Linked DNA regions of Drosophila melanogaster. The gene in region 4 interacts genetically with the main gene of each other region. Each region holds a gene or a part of one and is shown on either strand. Other genes may lie near its edges. The genes, in order: Lapsyn, Sh, Itpr and rut.

Region 1 (7,975 bases), on a different chromosome or scaffold from region 4:
TCTAAGCCTGTAAAACCATTGCATACTTGTTGGCCGTGATGAAAAGGCTTCACCACCAAGTCGGTTGCAAAATAGCTTGCCTACTTTCAGGCTGATGCACTTTAAATTGATTTAGGACAATTTTTAAGTTAAACTAAAATAAATAAATAACGATATATTCAAATAATGTATATCTCTAATATTTTTCCTTATTCATAAAAATACATAATGTTGTTAAGAAACTAAATATCCAAGTCTAAATACAAACTCAATACAGACTTCTTCTTTAAATCAACGTTTTATTGTCATTCGTTATAAAAAATCCACTCCATTGCTGGCTTAAATCTATGTTACGTATTAAACCAAATAAATAAGCGATGGCTTTTGAGCAAGGCAATATTCTTTGATGGCGCTGTTTTTGGTTTTTGGTGATTTTGTGTGATTTTTGGTAAAGGATTCAAGGCAGTTTGCTAGGTAGACGGTTGTCCTAAGGCTAAACTAACGCATAAATGGTAGGTAATAAATAACTGGCACCTAAGACTAACTAACTAACTAAGCAACTAATTAACTAACTAAAGTGCTATTTTCGGGCAATATCACAGTGCAGAGGCTCGTCCTCCGGCTGACGGTTGTTGATGGCGTTTCTGGGCGAGATCACAAACGGCTTTCGCTTCTGGGCATTCCTCTTTCGTCGCTGGGCTCGTTTTCTCCTACAGTGTATCACGCAGAAGATGACAACTGTGGGAGGTGGGAAATGTATTTACTTATGTCGAATAGAACTAATTCGTAACTCACTTAAAAGCACAAAACAAACTCCGCCAAAGCAGCCAGCTCCAAAGAGCCAGAAGCTGCGCGTTTCGGCAAACTGCAGTGTCGTCTGGCAACTGGCGAATGTTGGCGAATGGATCGTTCGATTGTAGGGCAGTGGACACTCGCGGATGTCGAGCGCCTCTGAAAATGGAATTGCAAGTTGGTCATGTGCCAAAAATAAGCAGCTGCTCCGACTGCAGCGCCATCATCGCCATCACTACTTACCCAAGCAAACTGGCACGAACTTCGGACTGGCGCCGAGCATCATAAGATGGTTGGTGACCTGCTGGCAGCCACACTGGCTCAACTGCGACTTGGTCAGATCGATGACCTGCAGGTGGCACATATTCGCCAGGCTGTCGATCCTGAAGTTCTGCAGCGGATTCATCGAGGCATTCAGTTGCCAGAGTTCTGAAGAGAATCGTTCAATATTAGATAGATTCCATATATCTACATATCTCTGCTTACTTGGAAGTATGCCCAGATCGGGTAACTCCTGTAGCTCGCAACCTGCCACGTTCAGGTACTCCAGTGGAGCACGAATGGGCTTCTCCAGTGCCTGAAGATTGAGGGATGTTAGCTCATTGCTATCGATGTATAGGTTTCTCAGTCGCGGCAGCTGGAACAACTCCAGCGGTATCGTTGTCAGTCCATTATTCGAAAGATCAATTTCCTGGGAATTTCGATTAAGAAATTAATTAAAGACACACTCGTTGATTAATTGGATGTCGTTGTTACCTGGAGCGAGGTGAGTGGCTCGAAGGTTCCCACCTCCACCGATAAGATCATGTTATCATAGAGCATCAGAAACTTAATGTCCGTGTATCGCTGAAACGAGCTAGTTTTCAGCTTCCTGATGCGATTGTGCGATAGATCCAGAACCTGCAAAAAACATTCAGCGAATTGTCAGATCATTTAATTTCAGTAGAGAGTTTTGAATGGCATGGGTAGGGTTCCCATACACATCGACTATGCATGTCGGTGTAATGGATAAATTTATGTTTGTGGGCAACTTCTTTATTCTTTAATTAAGCTCAATTGAGGCTAACTGTGACGAGGGGCCCAGCAATGACCAAGTCTGATCGCCTGACCCCTCGATCGTTACTCACCTCCACCGAACTCTTGAGGTTCTGTGGCACCTCCTTGAGGTCCAAGTCGTAGCAACGAATCCGGAGCAGCTTATCGATATGGCCGTACGTGCACTTGCGCACTTCCGACTGAATGATGAATCCGGCGGAATGCAACAACTGGAGGCACACGATGAACGTCAGCAGCTGCCAATGCAGTTCCATGCTCTGCCAAAATAAATTAACATATATACATATAGATGAAAATGTAAATCCAAACGATGGGACTTCATTTCGGCGCTAACTTGTTTATATTCTTGATTAAAACTAGAACAATAAATTTAAGCAAACAATCGCCCATGGGCTCGTCAAAGCGTTTATTTTCGAATTAACAATTTACAAGATCATTGCCGATCGCTGGGGGTCTGGGTCTGGGTTTTGATTGGTTTTTGGGGGTGAATGCGGACTCGCATCCAAAGCTGAATGCATTCAATCAAGCGGATCTACCGCACCTGACAGATGGAATTAAACCATGGCAGCTCAGATACAGATACAGATACAAACTGAGCTCAAATTCGAAGCCTAGGTCAGCTGCTGTTGGCCTGCGTATACGCGATATTCATATTACGTATACGTAACACACAATCAGTGTCATTCCCGCTGCATTCATGCACATCAACAAAAGATGATTCCGCATTGCGGCGGCGGAAACATTTGGCGGCCCTATAATAGTAATAAAAGCAACTAGCCCGAAAAATAACTGACTCACTGCCATTTTGGGAAGCACTTGCCATTGCTCCAATATCTTATCGTGCGGCGTGTAAATCTTTTGATTCTACATCAAACAGCAAAAGGGGTAGCCATAAATCAAACAAATATTCCATTAAAATGCCTTTATGGCTCTTTTCAATATGTCAGATTCACAAAAGCATTTCCCGAAATTTGCCAAAAGCAATATAAGTGTTTTTGGTGAAAATGAAAGCCAATAATCGATTATGGGCCAGAAATAGGAATGCTTCGACGTGATTTATACCTCAGGATAAGTACATATATCTAGACATGATCTAAACATGTAAGCCCACTCGGTATGCACATTTGGGAATTGGAAATGGCCAGAATCCATTGTTAATGTCTCTGTTACGCCCCATTGAAGGGCAATTAGAAAATTGCACGTTTCCCAACTTTGTATCAGCTGGCTTTGCGTGATTTTGCATTGTGAAAAATGTGAAAATGAAAACCGAACAACATGAGTAATGTCTTGAGTATTGTAATTTTCCATTTGTGACATTCGGGCTAATTGCTGTCGCAGCTGAAGTTTTCATCATTTCGCCCAACGAAGCTGAAATTCCCGTGAAATCAATTGCGGGTCAGCAAAAGTGGATAGTTCTATTTACACGAAGCTCAAACGCTTGCTTACCAATGAATGATGAACGACGTCGTAGATATCCATCCATATTGGCAAATCACTTTGAGCCCGTCCAAGTGGCGGAATTAAGACATATGGAGCGCCCAGTTGGCCGATAAGATCTTGGCCTCTTGCAAAGGCAACAAAAGAGTGCTAATCAATTATAAAGTTAGTAACCATTCGTCGTTGCTCATACTAGCTGCGTTGGCTTGGAAAAATTTAAGTGATTCATGGTCCCCATTTAGACATCATGATTCGACCATTTATTAATTTTTGCCTATTTTCCAGCTAGCTGAAGTGTCTTGGCCTTTGACCAAAAAATGTTGCGCTCCACTTGAGAGGCATGTGCTCACGAAATGAAAACATAGAAAATGAAAAACAGTTTCTGCCAATATGTTTGCTCCACTAGCGGAAGCGTGGCGCACACTTTTGCCACCCAGTGTGGTGCGGCTACCTCTGTCATTAGAGCCGCCTGTCGAATCAGCGAAAAAACGAAGCAGAAAATATCAAAAGAAATATTGAAGCGATTTCCACACACATTCTCTTGGACTGACAGCAACCGCAACAATGGCTATAAATATATTTCATATATTTAAATTAAAATTAACCAGAAAAGCCCAAAACAGTGGCCAGAATGAGATGGCAGCATAAACAGTGGCGACCAAATGCAAACTTTTGGATTTGAGGAGATTGCATCGCATCCCCCAGCTGACTGACTTTATTATACAACTTTTGTTAGGGGGCTGGGAATTCAAGGAAATTGGCCATAAAAAGGGCTAATGCCAGGCACCAAATGGTAGATCCACTTGGCGGCTATGGCCATAAAAGTGATCCCGTCCCGCAAATCAAATGGTGAATCCGAATTAGCCTTAGATATTAGTTCTTTGCGAGTTGGAATTATTGGTTGGGGTCACAATTTATGTTTTTCACTTTCGCCGCATTTGTTCAGCTTCAATATTTATTTATATATTATACCCAATCAGGCGGCAGACCAGACAAACAATGCCATGGAAAGGCGAATGGGGTGGCAGAAATGGGTTACGGATCGGAATGGTCCAAGGCGCTAGCGATTCATTCACCCAGCTGCCCGTATCCGACTGTCGACCAACGGATTGCAGCCTGCCCGATATGATAAATATGACGAGGAGGGATTATTTATCTGTTCGCCGAGCCAAGCGATTATTGGACTAACAAAACGCAACATGAAATCGAAAATCCCCCACCACAAAAAAAAAAAATCGGAAGATAAAAAAAAAACACGAAATTAGTATCAAATATTTTAATAACATTCTAAACATTTGTGAATGGATTTATGTGCTCTTGTGATAGTTCCTGTCACACATTGTGGGCGTCGCAGAAGTAGGCATATATTATCGGCTATACCCCGTCCGATCGGCATATATATCTTTCAGCTCCACCCCCTCCCTGGCCGACCCCCAACAGGTGTGCGTGTGTGTGTGTGTGCACCGGAGGGCCCCGAGATTTATTCACATTTCTCGTTGCTACGATAAAGATTTATTTGTTTGGACTCTTCTCTCTCTCTCTCTCTCTGATGCACTGATGAAACATTGCTTTGAGACAACCTTCCCATCTGGGCTACCTTCTCATTACCACCCACCTCCCAGAAATGCCATTGGGTAACAATCATATTTTCCTCAAAAAAAACCGAAGCTTATCAGAGTACGTCAAGTGCTCTTATCGTGTAAGTCCCCATTCTGCTGATAGCTTCTTTCAAAATTATAACGGCGATGCCAAGAACAATAAAAAAAAAAATTAATTGAAACGGCCCCGTAAAGATTGGTGTAGCATAAAAGAGCGTTGTTCATTTATTTCAATTAAACACAATCAAGAAAACATTTGCCCAGGGACTGAAAAAAACAAAAAAAAAAAAAAACAAAAGTATCCAAATACAGTGACTACTCTACTTTATCGGAATGCCAGTCGAAAATATCATATTTCGATCATGTGTTTATTATTTAAGAATATGACATTTTGTATAACTTTTCTTTGTTGAGAACGTTTCCCTATTCTCGAGGCTTTGATTACTTTTCCAGAACACACTGGCTGTAAAGATTAGTCTGCGCCTTGATAAGCAGGTGTTCCCTACGTGTTTTTACCACAGTTAATTACTGAATAAACAGCCCTGCTGAAGCGTTACTTTTAGTAGATACACACAGCAAGTAGTATATAGTATATAGTGAAACTTTTATTTTATCTGCAAGATATGTGTGCTACACACACAGAGAAAGGCTCACAATTGCCGTTGTGCTGCCTCCGCTAATTGAAATCAATTTAACTTGGATTCTATCGCATTATGCTGTCGTGGAGACTCTTTTGGTTGCATATAGAGCATATAGAATCCAGAGACTGGCGCACATTTCAATGCTAAGTTTCCTGATTAGAAAATTCAATATAGCTTACACAGCTGTTGTGCAATCTAGTCGTAGTACTATGTGCACCATTCACGATAACCCGCCAGACCCCATAATACTACCATCAAGAAAGCAAAATAATCAACAAAAAAAAATCAAAAAAAATCCAAACAGATTTTTCCGTCCGCTTACCGCTGGGGAAATTCAAGTGTTCAGGTATAATCCCATTTAAAGTCGGCGATGATAATCCTAGTAAAATGGCAGGATTCTTGTTAGTTCACTACACACACATCACTCTATGCTCTTCTAGGATTCTTCGATTTTCTGTGATCTTTATATATTTTATATATATGTAATATTCAAACAGCTTTATATGTTATATTATCAATATTTTTTAGTTATGATTACGCCGTAGAATGTTATAGCAATCGTTACGGAGCGCGCACGTTGGCCGGAACCGTTCAATTCAACCGCAGACACAGAATTGAAACGATCGTTTCAGTTTTTGGCCTTTCGGACTCCGACAATCCGATCGCCCGAGCAAAGCACACCGAAAAATGCTGATAAAGCGGACGCACGCTCCCAGATGACACTGCACTGCACTGTGAAAATTCGGATGGAAAATTCGGAGTGGAGAGAGAAGCGCTCTCTTTGATAACAGCAATGGAAACTGATACACTCTGCGACTGGAAATTGAATTGTTTTCGGGATTTTGACAGTTCAAATGTGGATATTTCTGATTTGGCCGGCCACTCATTCAATTAGCAAGCGATTGATAATCGAAATTGATACAGAGGCATCTAATGAAGCATCCACGCCAGCTGACAATACAGTTGTAAACGCGTATGAATGATATCGCAACTAACTAAATGAATGTGAATGATATCGCGGATAGTCAGCAATGAGAGCTTGATCCGTATCATAAATGTGGGCAGACGACTTAATTCTCTTCTTATCAACAGGTAAAATTCCCAGGCACCCGTAGATCTCCTCAAGCACGGACATGAGCCCTGTCCGTCCGTTCGCCACTTTTCCACATCGTAATCCAATAAATCCCCGACTGACGACCGCTAATTGCTACCTGGCACCGGGTCTGGAACTCCAGGTATAACTACCAGGTAATAATATACGCTCTATATGGCATTACTTTTCATCGTATTTATTGGTTTGTTTTAATATATTGTTCACAACATGAAAAAGAAATAGTAGAAAAATATGACATTGTGATTGAAGGTTTTAATACATAAACCCATATTCCATTAGTTTCCTTTTAGTTTCCTTAAGTCTTCGATTTGCAATGTTTCTTGTTTGTTTAGGTAATGAAAAGTAAAAAAAGTACGAAAAACATATGTGATTCTTCAGTTGGTTAATCGAGAAAAGAAAGTACAAATACAGTTATAAAGGGAAAAAATAAATAATTCATCTGGAGGAGGTTTAAACTTCACTCCACTTCTCTTCAATTCGCCAACTTTCGTTGATGATGTAAAATTGTTTTAAACAAGGTTGAGCAATTAAATAAATCGTCATCCGCCTTAATAGCTACTAACATATATAGGTTAGTGCCAATTTTATCTAGATTACATTTTTTTTTAAAGTTTTTTTCAATATTTTTCGTTTGTTTTTATACATTTTTTTTCAATGATTTTTCGTTTTTTTTTTTGTTCGATTTTTTTTCGTTTTGTTGTGTTTTTGGTGATAATGTTTTGCATTCCGTATTGATTCTTTAATTAATATTAAAAATTGCTTTCATTTTGGTTTTCCATGAAAAGTCAATGAAGCATCTTGGCTAATCGTGTGGTGTCCTCCTCTTCCCTTTGAATAAGTTTAACTCGTTCAACTTAATGGATAATACATCGCATGTTTTTAGCCAACCCAATCACAATCTCCTGCATGGAGCACATATGAGTCCGATCTGACTGTACAACGGGGTGATCACTGACATTCCTGAAGCTTCTCGCTGATGTTCTTGCTCTGGTAGAAGAGTCGTACGACATGGGTGCCAGTTCCCTTGGTGGCCAGAATCTCTACCTGGAATGTTTCAGAGAAGCGAGTGTCGATGAACGACTGGAGCAGGGCCGCGTCGCACTTGGATATGGTCGACGCATCCAGCTCGCAATGCCTGCTGTATCGCGCCGGCTTGGCCAACTCCTCAGGCAGCTGGCGGAACTGCTGCGTCACGGCATTGTTGCCAAAGTCAATAAAATGCACCTCGCACTTTCCGTCATCCAAAACCTTGCGAATTTGGGCGCGATAGAAGACCTCGTCCTCCGGGAACTGAGCCACACACAAAGCTCCCTCTTTGAGGTCGCTAAAGGCGGGTAGGTCCTGTTCTGCATCGAGCA
Region 2 (5,049 bases), 3.2 Mb from region 4:
GAGGCATAAAGTCACCAAGTATATAGCATATATAAAATACGACTCTGTGCATATTTTTGGTGGCCAAATTTTCTTGTAGTGTGTGTGTTCATGCCCGACCGCAAACATATGCGCATAAATATATACATATGTAAGTTAGCAATTGGGCCAAAACTAAATGGCCAAGCGTGGCAGGAAAGACAAAATGGAGCAAAACAGTTGGCAGATATATCGAGTTGTGGCAAGAATAAAAATTCGCCACCATTCAATCAGGGAAGCTGCTGATGTTTTTGCGAAGACAGACGACCACTTTAAAGGCACTCGATATATGCGCCATATACTGGGCAAATTCAACTCGAAAGACAAAGCCGAGTTGCCTCAGTGGCATTAGGAGAGCTTAGCGAGCACCAGAGGCGTGTGCAGAGGGGATTTATTAGCGCTGTTGTTGCCATAACCACTTAGCCTGCACACACACACGCACACAGACACACTGGCACACTGGCGAGCAGCTTTGGCACAAAGGGGTTAAGAGTGCGGAGAAGAACGAACCACACTCGACGCATTTACGATTGAGCTGGAGCTAAGCCTAAGCCTTGCCGCCTAAAAACCAGGCAATGTGCGTGCGAATGGCCTCCGATCCCCTCAATCTAGTAGTAACCCCCCCATAAAACCAGACCCCCCCCCCCAACCCATCAACAAGACCAAGCCTGCGGCTGTGCTCGTATTCGTATTCAACCACAAACTGGCTTTGTTTTATGATGTTTCACTTGCCAGTTGTTGCTCGAAAGCTCAGGAGTTCTTCCTGTTGCCTCAGCTGCTTGCATGCAAAGTTCAATCAAAATAAATCAGTTGCCTAGAACATTACAAAGGGGTTTCCCACCCATTCTCCTTCCCCTTGCCACTTTCCACTGAGTGGATAAGGGTTAACAGAAGGCTGAGCTGTCGAGCCGTCACGGCACATCTAGCCCCTGCAACCATTCGCCCCCCTTTCGATCGACTTGTTCAACTTTTCAAGTGCCCAATTAATTTTGGCGTGTGCGAGTCAAACTTGAATTTAATCGCAAATACAATGAGAACATGAGGCGTAAAAAAAGCGGGGAACATAGAGAGGAAAACAATAGGAGGAGCGAAAACAAAAGAAGCTTAAACAAAAATACAAAGACGAGGCTGAATAATAACCTCACATGCCCAAGTGCTCAAGTTGTAATACGGGGAAAAACCTCAGCTGCTCTTAGACAAATTAATGAACAGAGCGAGAATCCAAATCCAAACTAATTTGTATGGGAAAACTGGGTGGTTGGTGGAAAGCGAAGGGCGGAAGGCCCAAAGTTTTCCTAGATATCCAAGTGACTTGCCAAACAATACGGATGGCAAAGTTATGGTAAACCTCTCATCTCTGCTGAAAGATGAAACCACAAAATGAATGCATTTCAAAATCCCCAACATAATTACTCCAATGTTTGCGTTCATCTGTTTAGTTTTCACTGCATACTGAGGTGCTCGAATTGCTGGAAAAGCCTGCTTTCACCCACAATTGTGTTGCAAGCCCGTGTATTTATTATTTATATATGCTCTCTATGACAATGGAAAGAAAACGGTCGAAGCAACGAAACATAAGCCATTAATCCAATCAATGCAGTTCCTGTTTCTGGGTTTTTGTTTTTGACATACAAAATTTATACGTTGCCTTCATTTGTGGTCAAATATTAAGGCCACTGCCCAGTTTAATTTCGAGGCATTCAATTGATCTCTGAATTCGATCCTTGAGGCTGTCTTATTGTAAATTAAACATGCCTGCCCTTCTTGCTACTGACCACCATTCTATTTTTGTTTAACTTTGGCTGTGATTTTAAGTTTGATTTACAATTGTAAATTGGGTCAACTTGTTTTTCTTTCAGCTTCGGCTGCTCATTCCACTCCTCATTCCGCTTTTGTGGCTCGTTCAGTTTTTGACGGCGCCAATGCGTCGTATGAGCAATTTGCCAGTTTCTCTTTAGGCTACTGCTACAGCTTTTGCTCCTTCTGGCTCTTTTGGGCCACTCGAATTGCACTGAAATGGAAATGGCAATGGGAGTGGGAATGGGAATGGGAATGGAAATGGCACAAGGCAATAGGAATTGAAGTTGCTTATATAAGCAAAACTTCACTGGTGCCTCTTACCCCTACTTCAACCTACTTCACCCGACCAATCCCTACCATTTTCCACTTTCTCCCCCTTAACTAGAGTGAAATATTAATTAACTCGACCTGCAGTGGGCTAAGTTGGCGTGGACAATCCCCTACCACCACCACTACCATCAGAATCATCATTCCACCGGAGGCTGCAGCAGTGTAGATTCGAGTGGCGCCCCCTAGGCAAATTATGTTGGCAGTGTCCAGGTCCATTTGCCGCTTGCCAGTGCATTAATTAAGGTAAACAAACACAGAAACAGTCGGAGATAGGGCGATACAGTTGGAGGGACTCCAGGATTCCCCTGGAGCCTCTGATCATGTCCTGGTGTATTTTTCTCTTCTCATCCCTTTTCTGTGGCGCGTGGAAGGGTGCTTAAATGGCTTCTTAAGCTGTTTTAAACGCCTTTTTTAAATGGAGTTTCTCCTTGTGTTTCGAATTTTGCGGCACGCACCAAGCTCGGAATAACAATAACAACAAGAGTTACCATTTAAAAAAAGAGAACCATACACTCACATTCACCGAAAAAAAAAAAACAACAACAAGAATCACGCGCGGCTACGCGGCACGCACCACCTGCTTTTTTTTATTATTTAAAGTGCGAGTGGGGGGTTTTGAGCGAGGTAAAAAAATATTGAAGTCTGGATAGAAACTCCAATTGTCAGATTGACACACTGACTGATTGACTGACTGAATGAATGACTAGCTAACTGACTAGCTGGCTGACTAACTGACTGACCGACTGACTGACGGACTGACTGACTGACTGACTGATTGATTGACTGACTGACGACAGTCGCCGCCAAGCGCGGAACGCGTTGCACGATTACGTTGTGACGACGTGACTGCGACTGCGACGACTGAACCGAACTGAGGCGCTGCAAAAGTGTCCGGCGATAGAAGAACCGCCGAACTACGAGCCGAGCCAAATGCGGTGGCACGAACGCCCCACGTTGGGCGCCACGAACTCGCCACGAACATTTTGGGCCGAGGCGAGCACGTGCGATTTGCTTTGCTGCATTGGCTCCGGCTTTGTCAGCGGACTGGATCGTATAGCTATATATCTAAAGCTATACGGAGTTTTCCACTGCTGCACTCCGACTCCGATGGCGCCTCTTGCGTGTTGCGTGCTGTGTTCTGTGTGTGCCGAGTGTGTGCTATGTGTGATGTGCGATGTTCTGTACTGTGCTGTGTGGCAGGTACCGCTCCTGTTCCCGCTGGCCAAAGGCATACGAAAACTGGGCAAAAGGCAAATAGTTTTAGTGCCACTTGGCACGAACACGGCGACCAGAGGAGGCCCAAAAAACACAAAACCAAAAAAAAAAAAAGAAACGAAATGAATAAAATGAAAACCAACAACAAAGCAGAGCCGCAACAACAAAGCCAAAGAGTAGCCTGGGTGAACATGGCTGAGCAAGAAGAGCGGGAACCATGGGCACAGGGACATTGGCGACACTGGCGACTCTGGCGACACTCGGGCACCGTCCGCTGGAGATGGAGCTCTAGCTCCTGGCTGGACTGGAAATGGGGGCCCGTCGGCGGGGATGAGTGGCGGTGTCAAACAAAGCAAATGCCGCTAGGGGCCGCTGAGGCGGCGGCCGAAGGCAAAACAACCGAAACACGAAAACTAGGTGAAAACTGTAAATGAACCAAACACAAACATACACTAACACTCACATGCACACGGGAGCAAGAGAAAATCGAATCGAAGGAGAAACGACAAAAGCCACAACCCCATGCCCTCCAACTCGCCACCGCATCACCACCACCCTTTGGTGGCAAAGGTGTGCTCCTCTATTATTAATGTGTGCTTTAAAACGCCGCCGGGCTCGTTATGCTCCCCCCTTCCGAAGCCTATTCCTTCGCTTCCCTTTTGTTGGCTCCACTTGATTATAATAATGCGAATAACTGCACACTCACACACATACGGACGCACACACATGGCCATGTAAAGGCTCCCAAGTAATACACAGACACACGCATATAAGTGTCACGTGTGCACTTGAACGCCATGCTTCCAGCGAGGGACGGCGTGGCGTATGAGTAATGCAATTATTAATAAATAAACACATGGCACATTCACGCACACAAACGCGCGCCCAAACAAAGCATGGGAAAGTTCGGAAAGGAAAACATAAGGGAAAGCGAGAGAAAAGGGCCACGGAAAGCTGGATAAAGCGCAGCTTAAAGCTCTGGCTTCTGCTTCAACAAAGTTGACGTAGCTATTTGTTTTCCCAGCTTAAAAGCTATCAGAAAGTTTTCTTCAAATCAGAAATTGTGTTTTAGTCAAGCTTTTAAGCTCTTCAATTTTCAAAAAATCAGAAAAGCTTTAAGCTTTGGTGTCCTTGCTAATGCAGGTTTTGCGTTGAAAAATTATTGGACGAAAATTTATCGGAACGCAAACCTTTTATAGCCACACAAAAGCATTTGGAGAATAAGTTGGTTAGGTTGTAAAATACAACCGTTTGTGAAATTTTAACTATAATTTAATAGTTTTTACCAAATAGCATTTTACAATTTATTGAAGGGAGAAAAGCTAATATTATTGAAATATTTTTTTTTAATGAGACGAAGTTATCCAGAAAATGTTATAATCTTTCTAATAAACTAAAATAAGAACGTCTTTTGGGTTTAAAAATAAAAGCTCATTTAGTTCTAACAGTTGCACTTACTAGTTTCTTAAACTCTATAGGTTTTGAATGATTGGGATTTATTGTCAACATTTTGGATACTTTAGCCTCTTTGAGCAATCTTCTAAGAGTCGCTGCAGTACTTATAATTCTTCAGTTCAGAAAATTAGATTTTTAATGTTAAATGACATTTCACCTCATGTTTTCATTTGCTATTTAATGACTTAATGCTTGCAGAGAAATATATACACTTGTTTTAATGTTTTACCA
Region 3 (4,928 bases), on a different chromosome or scaffold from region 4:
AGCGCGCCTTTCAACAATTTGGCCATTCATTAAAAGTCTGGGCCCTGTCTGGTGGCTCAAAGCAATTGAAAAGCCAAGAGACCTCGGCCCACCTGAGCAGAAAAAACGTGAAGCACACAGATACTCACACAATCACACCAGACTGGCGCTGATGAGAACACTTTGCTTCTCATCCAGTCTGCTTCATTGATAACACCCGACCTCCGCATCCGAACAAACACACACACACCCTTAATAATTGCAGCCAAGTGGGCTGTGCACATCGGATGGGCGGGGGGCGGGCGCTTATATTTTATTTGCAGCTCCAGAATGTCGCTTACACAATTTGCCTGTTTATGTTAATTGCTGGCGCTCCCAGGCGCCAACCCCGGCCACTTTACCGCCCCCCCTTCCACAAAATCCCCACCAGCTGCTCAATTCAGCTTCGAATTATGCACATGCTCATGGCAAGCCCACATAAATTGGAGCAAACACACGATTGTGGTCAAAAAAATAAGCATACCTGAGAATCTTCAATGTGTTTTATTTATTTAATGTAATATCTTTGTGGTCAGTTTGTTTAAATGGTGACAAGTGGCAAAACTGAACAAATTTGGCTGGTTGGTAAAATTTATTGATTAAAAATCATGCACAAACGTTATCAGTATGTCAAATGCAATTATACGACAACTTTTGGAGAATTATCAACTACAGTTGAGGGATTCTGAGAGAATAACAAAAACAAATTGTGAATTTTTTAACTCTTTATATTAAAATTGATGACATCTGAATCGTGGTTAAAGAGAAAATAGTTGTCAAGTTCCAACTTTTTTTTTTAAATATACATATATAATTGCACAAAAACATAATAATCAAAAAAATTTTAATACTATACCGAACTAGCGTTTAAAAATTAGAATATATATGTACATTTTCTAGCCGGTTGATCAAAGTACCCGCAAATGACATCTCAATTGACTGGTTATCTTCAATAAATGAAACTCACTGCACATACTATCTATTGGTCCCATTGATTGTATAATTTAGTAATTTGTTCGACATTATAATGTGAATATAATTGATCGTAATTGTGTGATCATAGGCCCATTAACCCAATCATGATTACATGCAAATCAAGAAGTAGTGAAGTGCGCTCTTTCAATCGCAACAAAAAAACTTGGCCAGAGAGGAATTTGGCGATGAAAAGCCATTTTTTTACCCCAGGTAATGGAAATCATCGCGTGCAGCAGGCTCAACACGTCCACTTTTCATCCCCCTCCCCCATCTTTTTTGGTATCCCTCATCTTGCCTCTTACTCTATAGCTCGCCACCTGCCCAGTCAACACCAACAACAATGTGGCGCTTAATTAAGCACGCGTCGCCCAGTCAGCATCTCTCTTTCTCTCTCTCCCTTTCGCTCTCTCTCTCTTTTCCGCTGTCTGCAATCAAGATGTGTGCACTGAGAGAAAATATCGGCGCTAAGTTGATTTTCTCGAACGCAGATGCATTCAGTTCAGAGGACGTCAAGTGAGAAATTTCCAAAAGTGATTTGCATAACTTTAGGAACTGACAAAGAAATATTAGGATTAAAAAAATCCAAACTTTTCTCGAAACTGTGGGCGTGACTGTTTTGAACGGTTTGTGGGCGTTAGAGTGGGCGCGGACGTTGTGAATTAAACTTGCACATCTAGATTTTATAGATCCCGAAATCTCGATCTGATCAATAATATATGTATCCGGTATACCCTTTCACTCTACGAGTAAATACGAGTTTTAATTATGACTATGTTACTTCGTCATTATAATTCTTAAACACTCCCATTTGAAGAATTTTTGTATAACAACAAACAATCCCTCTCACCACAAAACAATTTTGGAAAGCATCACGTTCATATACATAGTGGCTTGAGTTGAAATCAACACTTGACTTCGGAGTTGATTCCCTAAGGATTTATTTATATTTTGTTTGAGTAGCTGGCATAGAACCATACCCCCGATAAGCAAATGTCTTCAATCAGTGGGATTTATATGTTTTTTCCTTAGCTTTTCTATTCGTGTAAGCAACAAATAGTGGCCACTGCAACGTAATTGAATCTCAGCGCATTTCTGGCCCTTTCGCTTTGGCTTATTGTCAATTATTGAGCGAAAGCAAGAGGCAAGAACGAAATCAAAATCAAGTGGGATCAAAAGGCGAGGGCGTGACTGCTAGATAATAGCTATCGCGGTAATTAGCCTATCGGTTCGGTCGTGATAGGCTTATTGCCTTATGACCTACTTAAATTGGTGGCAAGCCCTTCGGGAAACCAGAAAAACCAGTAACTGGGCTCGATTGGCAACAGGTTGTCGTTGTCGTTGTCGTGGGATACTCACCGTAGAATGTATGTAATGTAAAATATCCCTTGTAGAGATGTGCTACTGTATTGTGATTGGTATTGAATCATCCGTCGATAGACGACGATCGTAAATCGAATTTGACTTTATATTTATTTTATTCAAATGCAAACACTCGCGGGCACTCGAAAGAACTTAATATATTTTCACCTTGAGTGGGCCGCACTTAGCCGCGGAAAAGAGAGAATAACAATAAGTGGGAATACGGTGAGGAGGAAGAAGAAGGCCCAGAAACCACACACAATAACAATAACAATGCCGGGGCAGCGACGTCGGCAGAGGAGGTTTTGTCAATAAGAAATAACCGTTAAAACACGCGACAAACAATTCCGGCTGCGGGAAAGAGAGGCAGCATGCGATACAACGTCAACAATCGGCTCTCCCGACCCCACGATCCCGTTGACCACCCACAAGCAGCGCAGTCGCAGCGCAGCAGCAGCGCGGGCAAACAAAACGATTGTCGATTTCTACGCACTTTTCCCAATCACGCACACACACCCACACACGCACGTCGCGTTTAGGCCAACAAATTGAAATTGGCCAGCATTTCGGGCATAAATTACGCGCTCAAGGCGTATGAAAATGCAATTTTCCAGAGCGCCGCGTCATGCGCGACTTCGTGTACCGTACCGCTCAGCTCCTCCGTCTCCCTCACTCCAACGAAGTGCCAGCGCAGCGCAGATAAGGCGGACCGACGCGGAAAACCCCAGCGAAAACACGTCCGACTGAAAGCGCGGTCGAGCAACAAGTGTTTAAAAACCGTCGAACCATATGATCGATTAGTGTGACCGCGCGAAAAATACTAGTTAGCCGTTAATAAATGGTGTAATTGACATCTTAACTGTTTTATGCACACATATATAGAATTATTGACAGTAACACGTTAATTGCATTTACTATTGACAAGGAATGACATAAGCAAGTGTTTGAAAACCGCAGAACCAACCATATGATAAATTAGATGGGAGCGCATGGATAAAATACTAACATACTCTAAATACTAGTTAGCATGGCAGCACAGGGTAGAGATTTGAATCTTATTCAAATATTCATAGTTTTTTAGTCATCTGTGCTTGAAAATTCCAGATCAATGTTGATAGATTGGCCGAGGATTAAAATCTTTCCACTCATCGACTCACATACTTAGATTTTGCTTCTAATGCCTATTAACACAATGAAATGGTCACTCTAACGATCTTGCGTTGGTATTCATTTTTTCGCGATCTGGCATTACCACATATGTAAGAAAACACCGCGAATTCAAAGTTCTGCTTTTTCAAAAATGAGCAAAATAAACTTTAAGAAATCTTGTCTTTGACCATTCTCATTGCTGCAATGGGAAATGGAAAATGCCATTAATATGCGGCATCTCCCCTTTTCGACTTGCAGAAAATGCTGGATGTTTGCTCGAGAAACCATTGAAATCGTTGCACAAAACACCTCGTTTATCCTCCCCCAGAAACTATAGACTTCCGCATCATGGCTATGGCTGAGTTTGTTTTTTGCCGGCCATTGTTTGGGCTCGCCATTGTTCTCCTGGTGGCGCCAATTGATGCCGCCCAGAGGCACACTGCCTCGGATAATCCCTCGACGTACAACATTGGCGGCGTACTGAGCAATTCCGACAGCGAGGAGCACTTTAGCACCACAATAAAGGCAAGCCCATTGACTAACTGGATGCTCCACTAATCCGAATGCGATAATCACGCTTTCCCATCCAACCGCAGCACCTCAACTTCGATCAGCAGTATGTGCCGCGGAAGGTCACCTACTACGACAAAACCATCCGCATGGACAAGAATCCCATCAAGACGGTCTTCAATGTGTGCGACAAGCTCATCGAGAATCGGGTAAGTCGGTGGCCAAATGCAATTACCTGCTCATTTCCGACCATTCCTCCATCGCTTGAAGCTGCTCACATACTCGTATCTGTGTTTAACCCGACCTGGTTCGATTCATTTCCATAATTTAAGGGGAAATGATTCGGAAATGGGATGATGACAAGCGGTAATGCGCCAGCAGAATCCAATATCCATGAGCTAACCAACTGGAGCTCTTAGAGCGAAAGAGTGCTTAAATGTGCAAATTGAACTATAATTATACAATATTACTTTAAATGCGTTTTGTTGTTATGAACCAGGTTTGCAGAATGATATATAGAAGGAGTTTGTAGGGGTTTGGTTATTAGAAAGCTAAGATTTATAATCATAATTATCTTTTTAATTATTGATGGTCTTTAGTTGAGCTAAGTGATTTACAATATTGTCTACTATTTGGCAACATTAAAGTATTATCGGTACTTATTTGTCACTTATTCTAAATAAAAATATATAATATTACAAACTGGGTACAAATGTAAAGAACCATTCAAATGAAATAAGTGATTTCATCGCACTGTACTCATGTACAATGAAGGAAATCACAAAACTGGATTCTTGTGCAATAAATTATCGCTGTTATGCACAAAAAGGTGTCCATAAAATCCTAATGACGAAGAGCACTTCGGCACTTAAAGTGCAATGCACCTTTCAGTGTGAGACTTCGTCACTTAAAGCTGA
Region 4 (4,721 bases):
AATAATTCCATCGTAACACGAAGGCAATGTGATCAGTAGATGAGAAATTTTATCCATCTCTTCTATTTTTGCACCAGCTGCCAACAATTCACTTATAAGTTCGTCAAAAATATGAAAATGGCTTAATAGTGACATCTCACTCGATAGCTTCAGAGAAAGCAAACGTTTTCGCAGCGCCAGTTGCGACGCCAAACTTTTTCGTTCATAAACGGCGTCCAAATTCTCAAGAATCTGACGCGCCGTAATGTCGCTTGTTGCGAAATTTAAAAACGAGTCGCTTAGGTACTCTATTATTGTACTTTTTGCACAACGCTCTGCCTTTTTCCAGGAGTCATCTACCTCGTTAGGCATTAAACCATCAACTACTTTAAGCACATCTTGCTCGGCTAAAAGAGCCCTAATTCTAAATTTCCAAATCGCGTACTTCTCGCCATCAAACGGCTTAATATTACGTTTAGCCTTGTCCATTTTTCACTCAAATTCTGAGAAGGAAATAATTTCACAAGAATGTGAAAAAAAAAGCTATTTCACAAGAATGTGAAAAAAATGCTATTTCACAATTTATTTTCACAATCTTTAATTCACAATTTAATTGTTTATTAGGCATGGACTGGGCCCATAACCTGTTGTAATTTATAATTTATATTTCCTTTCTTAATAAATAAATAAATAGTCAAGTTTATGTTTGAGTTTTATGATTTATATTTTAAGTTATTTCAACTGCAACACCAGCACCACGACCTACTCACAGCAAAAAACGTACAAGAAGGAAAGAAGGAATAAAAAGAGTGGTATTCTCTTACAATATGTTTTATGGCATAAAAGGTGTGGCCATTCATATCAAATATAAAGTAGTGTTGTTTAACGTTATTTTTGTAGGTTGAATAGTATATTCCAACAAACACAAATATGAAAAGTCGGCGGGGCGAAAAGAAAACACATGTGTCAGCTGCTGCAGCACACACAATTTAAAACTATAATATTAAAGGCAATTTGTTAAAAGGGTTGCAATTATTTATAGCCATCGCCCTAATGATTCAGATAATAAATGAGCTAAATAATTCGAAATCCCTAGTGAAAATCTATGAATAGAAGCCATTTAAACTGGCTTAGAAGCTACAATTATCTAGTCAAGTCATTAGTTAGTCAAATACACAGTTAAGTAGTTGTTATTAATAGCCATAAATGTATGATCATCGTAAAAATGATTGGTCATAAACTAAAAGTCTTACTTTTTATCGAAACAATAAAAAGTAAGCTAATAACGATCAGCAGTTAAAGTTGACGGATTTGTGTTATATCCAACTGGAATCTAGTTAAACAACAATTTAAAGATAATAATTGTTTATGAAAAACGCTATAAGTAGTTAGTACTAATATTAATTTTATTTTCCTTTTTTGGATAAAATTTCAGTTCTACATATATAATAATATTCATGTTATTTAAATAGGATTTTCGATTATATTTTTCATTCTATTTTTGCTTTCTTTCTTTCTTTCTTTCTTTTCAATAAAATATTAAATTTTATATACATGTATTGAGAAAATATAATATTTACTTTACTCATATTCTAATTTGTATTAAATATTAAAATGAATAAAAACGTTTCAACCTTCTCCCGATTTCATGTGTATCTTATCCATAACTACGTATATATGTACTTCAGAGATGCAAAAGTATCTTAGTATCTCAAACTGAATTTCGTCAAAGGAAAACACTTACCCAAAAAGCAACAACGATTGTGTTGCAAGTTGACTGCTGCTGCTTCTTCTTCTTCTGTTACTTTTTTGCCTCCTTGTTCTGTATCTCTTGTTGTTGTTGTTGTTATTATTGTTGTTGTAGGTCCAAGATGCATAGATGGCTGAGCGGAGAGTAAGAGGGTGCGAATGAGACAGCGATAGGGAGCGAGTGAGAGAGCAAGCGAGTTGTAATTGAATGTTTGGCTCTTAATTAAAACAAGAATTGTGACAGCCACGCTTTAAGGCGGGGGGCGTGGCAAGCCCAAGCCTAAGCCCACTCCCACACACTCTCTCTCTCTCTCTCTCCCTTGGTTATTGCTTTTCTTTGCTCTCTCTCTTCGCGTGCCCTTTTTGATTATCTAATCCTTGGGGCAGGTGACATTTTGCAACTTTTGGGGAAGCGGAAGTTGTTGCCGTTTTCTTGTGCTGCCGCCGCTGCCAATACCGTTATCGATTTTTTGCGGCAGCTTGTTGTTGTTGTTGTTGCCGCTGCTGCCGCCGCCGTAAGCCGAAAAAAGGCGTGTGTGTGGCAAAGAGACAGAGGAACGTGGAGAAGAGAGGGAAAAGCCAGTGGCAAAGCGCATCCATGGACGGCACACACACACACACACACACACACACGCATTGGCATGATGAGAAGAGTGGGGGAGTGTGGAAAACGGGGAGAGAGGAGAGCCGAAAAGGCCAAAGCGAAACGAGTTAAGACGCAAGACAATGCAGATAAAAGCGGCAACAACGACAACAACAAACACGGCCAAGAACGGCAACAACAACCACAACAGCAGAAGGCGTCGCGGTGCGCTCTTCTTCTTGCTCTCCTTCTTTATCATCTGCTGGCAATGCATTCGTGTTTTTTGTTGTTTTTTGGGTTTTCGGTTTTTCTTGTTGGTTTTCTTTTATTATTATTTTTTTTTTTTTTTTGGAAAACTTGAATCTTTACCAGCTGCGTTTGGAGTTTTCCTGCCACTTCTTAAATGCGCGCGCGCATTTCCCACGACAAAAAGAAAACAAACGACCAGCGAGACACACAAAGTGGCACTTTATAGAACGAAAAAAAAAGTAGAATGTGCAAATACACCAGCACCGAAAAAAAAAAAGAAGAACAACAGTTAAGATCGCCGCGTTATTTAACCGCTTTTCCTTCCACACAACTCACGACGCGATTTCTTCGGATTGTTTGGCTTGGTTTGTTTGGTTTGTTCGGTTTCTCTTCGGCTCCGCTCGCTTCGGATTTGGTCTGTTCTCAGCAAAGCGTTGCAGCCAAACTAAAGCGTCCGTCGGCGGTTCGTAGCGAACCACTGCGAACCGAGTGGCACGAAGCTGCACGAAGTTGCACGAAGCGTTCGTCGGCGTGCAGCGAAAGCACTATCGTAGAGATGGGGCGCCACTGCTTGCGATAGCCCAATCGATATATCGTATATCAGCTGGTGTGATTTTAAATCCTATTATCAGCGTTATTTACAATATATACCAATTTCAAATTGATAGATGGAGATCGAACGTTGTGGTTTTTAAAGTTCCTGATCTTAATGCGTACATGTTCACTTATATGCAACTTGTATGGCGAATAAAAGTTGAAATGCAAAAGCTTTCAAAAGTCTATCGCCATGTCTTACATATTATCAGCAATCAGCTGGTTTTCTAGGTACTGTGTTATTATAGATTACTTATTGATTTTGAATATAGTTTTTAATATTAAGTTAAAATATACACCAATTAATCAAAAATTTTAAATGGGATTTGAGTAAAAATTAATGGGCATAATCATAGAATAAGTTTTTTATTTGGTAGGAAATACTAAACTAGAAAATACCAAAAGGCTGAAGAATGGTGGTCAAATGAAATTTCTAAAATAGAAAACCGTTAAAAGGCAATGCTATATTATTTAATAACATAACACAAACTAGTCAATTTTAAAGTTGATTTTTTACGTATTATAACAAAGAATGAAACTAAAGCTTTATAGTTACCAATTAAAAATGGCAGCCCCATTTTATTCACTAACTGCCCAGTTTTCGAAATGAAACATTCAGTTTTGTATAATACACTTCATATAATTTTATGCAGGTATTTATATATGCAATTATTTAACACTCAGTGGCGCAAACAGAAGAAAACCGAAGAATTCGCGGACAATTTGCAAGTCGCTTGTATTTCAAATGTCTCCATAAAGTAATATTGCTGATTCGGCTTTTGGTGCGAATTGTCAACGCACTCCTCGTTTTCTTTCAGTGCACACCACATTTACCATTATTTGTACACTCTTATGTATTTTTGTGGGTTTCTTGTAAATCATTTTGCCGAATATTTAGCTCGTACACACTAAAACTATTAAACTGATTTCGTTTTTGTTGACTAGCATTTAGTTATTTGCTTTTTGTAAACAGCATAAAATGTAACTTTCTTAATTATGTATATGCCACTACATAAACTAAATTATTGCACATCATTTATTTAGGATTAGAACATAGTTTGCCACACGTGCCTGAGTGCGTTGGTGTGGATTTAAAAAGATTCCTGCTGGCTCATCCATCATCTCGCATCCATTTCGATCCACCTGGGATTGATGTCTTTTTGTATTTGAATGATATGTACGCTACGCTTTTGACTAATTGGATTTTTTGGATCGATCGTAAGTATGCCCTAATACTCATAGAGTAAAATTTTGCCATAATTTTCATATTTGTATGCGTGCAGTGATGGGGGAAGTTGTGTCAGCGGCCAAACAAGAGTTTTCTAAATTGAAGAAAGGTACTTTCGAAAATTCCGTTACAAAAATGCTCAAAAATAGTGCATAGTTTTGAAACTTTAAATACTTCTTGTGGCACTTTCGATCATTATCTATGAACTATATTGCAATTATTCATTTAAAAGTGACTTTTCCCATCACCGCATTCATGTGTGTGTGTGTGTGTGTGTGTGATGGTGAGGCGGTTTTGGTGTTGATTTTTTTTTCTAAGTGTAGGGTATTTCGCTGTCGG

What was found.
Region 1: of rut (region 4) and Lapsyn, changing one suppresses a phenotype caused by changing the other (phenotypic suppression), as found in Drosophila melanogaster (one study listed by BioGRID).
Region 2: of rut (region 4) and Sh, changing one suppresses a phenotype caused by changing the other (phenotypic suppression), as found in Drosophila melanogaster (one study listed by BioGRID).
Region 3: of rut (region 4) and Itpr, changing one enhances a phenotype caused by changing the other (phenotypic enhancement), as found in Drosophila melanogaster (one study listed by BioGRID).

The regions. Positions count from the first base shown.
Region 1 is NT_033778.4:21,191,717-21,199,691, reverse strand, and holds Lapsyn (Leucine-rich repeat activity-regulated protein at synapses), read right to left. Parts: upstream 6,122-7,975; 5' UTR 5,826-6,121; intron 2,085-5,825; 5' UTR 2,082-2,084; coding exon 1,899-2,081; intron 1,672-1,898; coding exon 1,528-1,671; intron 1,463-1,527; coding exon 1,258-1,462; intron 1,201-1,257; coding exon 1,015-1,200; intron 931-1,014; coding exon 775-930; intron 718-774; coding exon 560-717; 3' UTR 261-559; downstream 1-260. Other genes in the region: tud (tudor), read right to left, coding at 7,566-7,975.
Region 2 is NC_004354.4:17,987,669-17,992,717, forward strand, and holds the start of Sh (shaker), read right to left. Parts: upstream 3,012-5,049; 5' UTR 2,666-3,011; intron 1-2,665.
Region 3 is NT_033777.3:5,515,310-5,520,237, reverse strand, and holds the start of Itpr (inositol 1,4,5,-trisphosphate receptor), read right to left. Parts: upstream 3,122-4,928; 5' UTR 2,350-3,121; intron 1-2,349. Other genes in the region: Nmdar1 (NMDA receptor 1), read left to right, coding at 3,850-4,026, 4,098-4,220. UniProt on the Drosophila melanogaster protein: Receptor for inositol 1,4,5-trisphosphate, a second messenger that mediates the release of intracellular calcium. Together with MCU, has a role in oxidative stress-induced ER-mitochondria calcium transfer.
Region 4 is NC_004354.4:14,823,066-14,827,786, forward strand, and holds the start of rut (rutabaga), read right to left. Parts: upstream 3,009-4,721; 5' UTR 2,897-3,008; intron 2,841-2,896; exon of another isoform or gene 2,681-2,840; intron 1,863-2,680; 5' UTR 1,724-1,862; intron 1-1,723. UniProt on the Drosophila melanogaster protein: This is a membrane-bound, calmodulin-sensitive adenylyl cyclase. Inactivation of this cyclase leads to a learning and memory defect.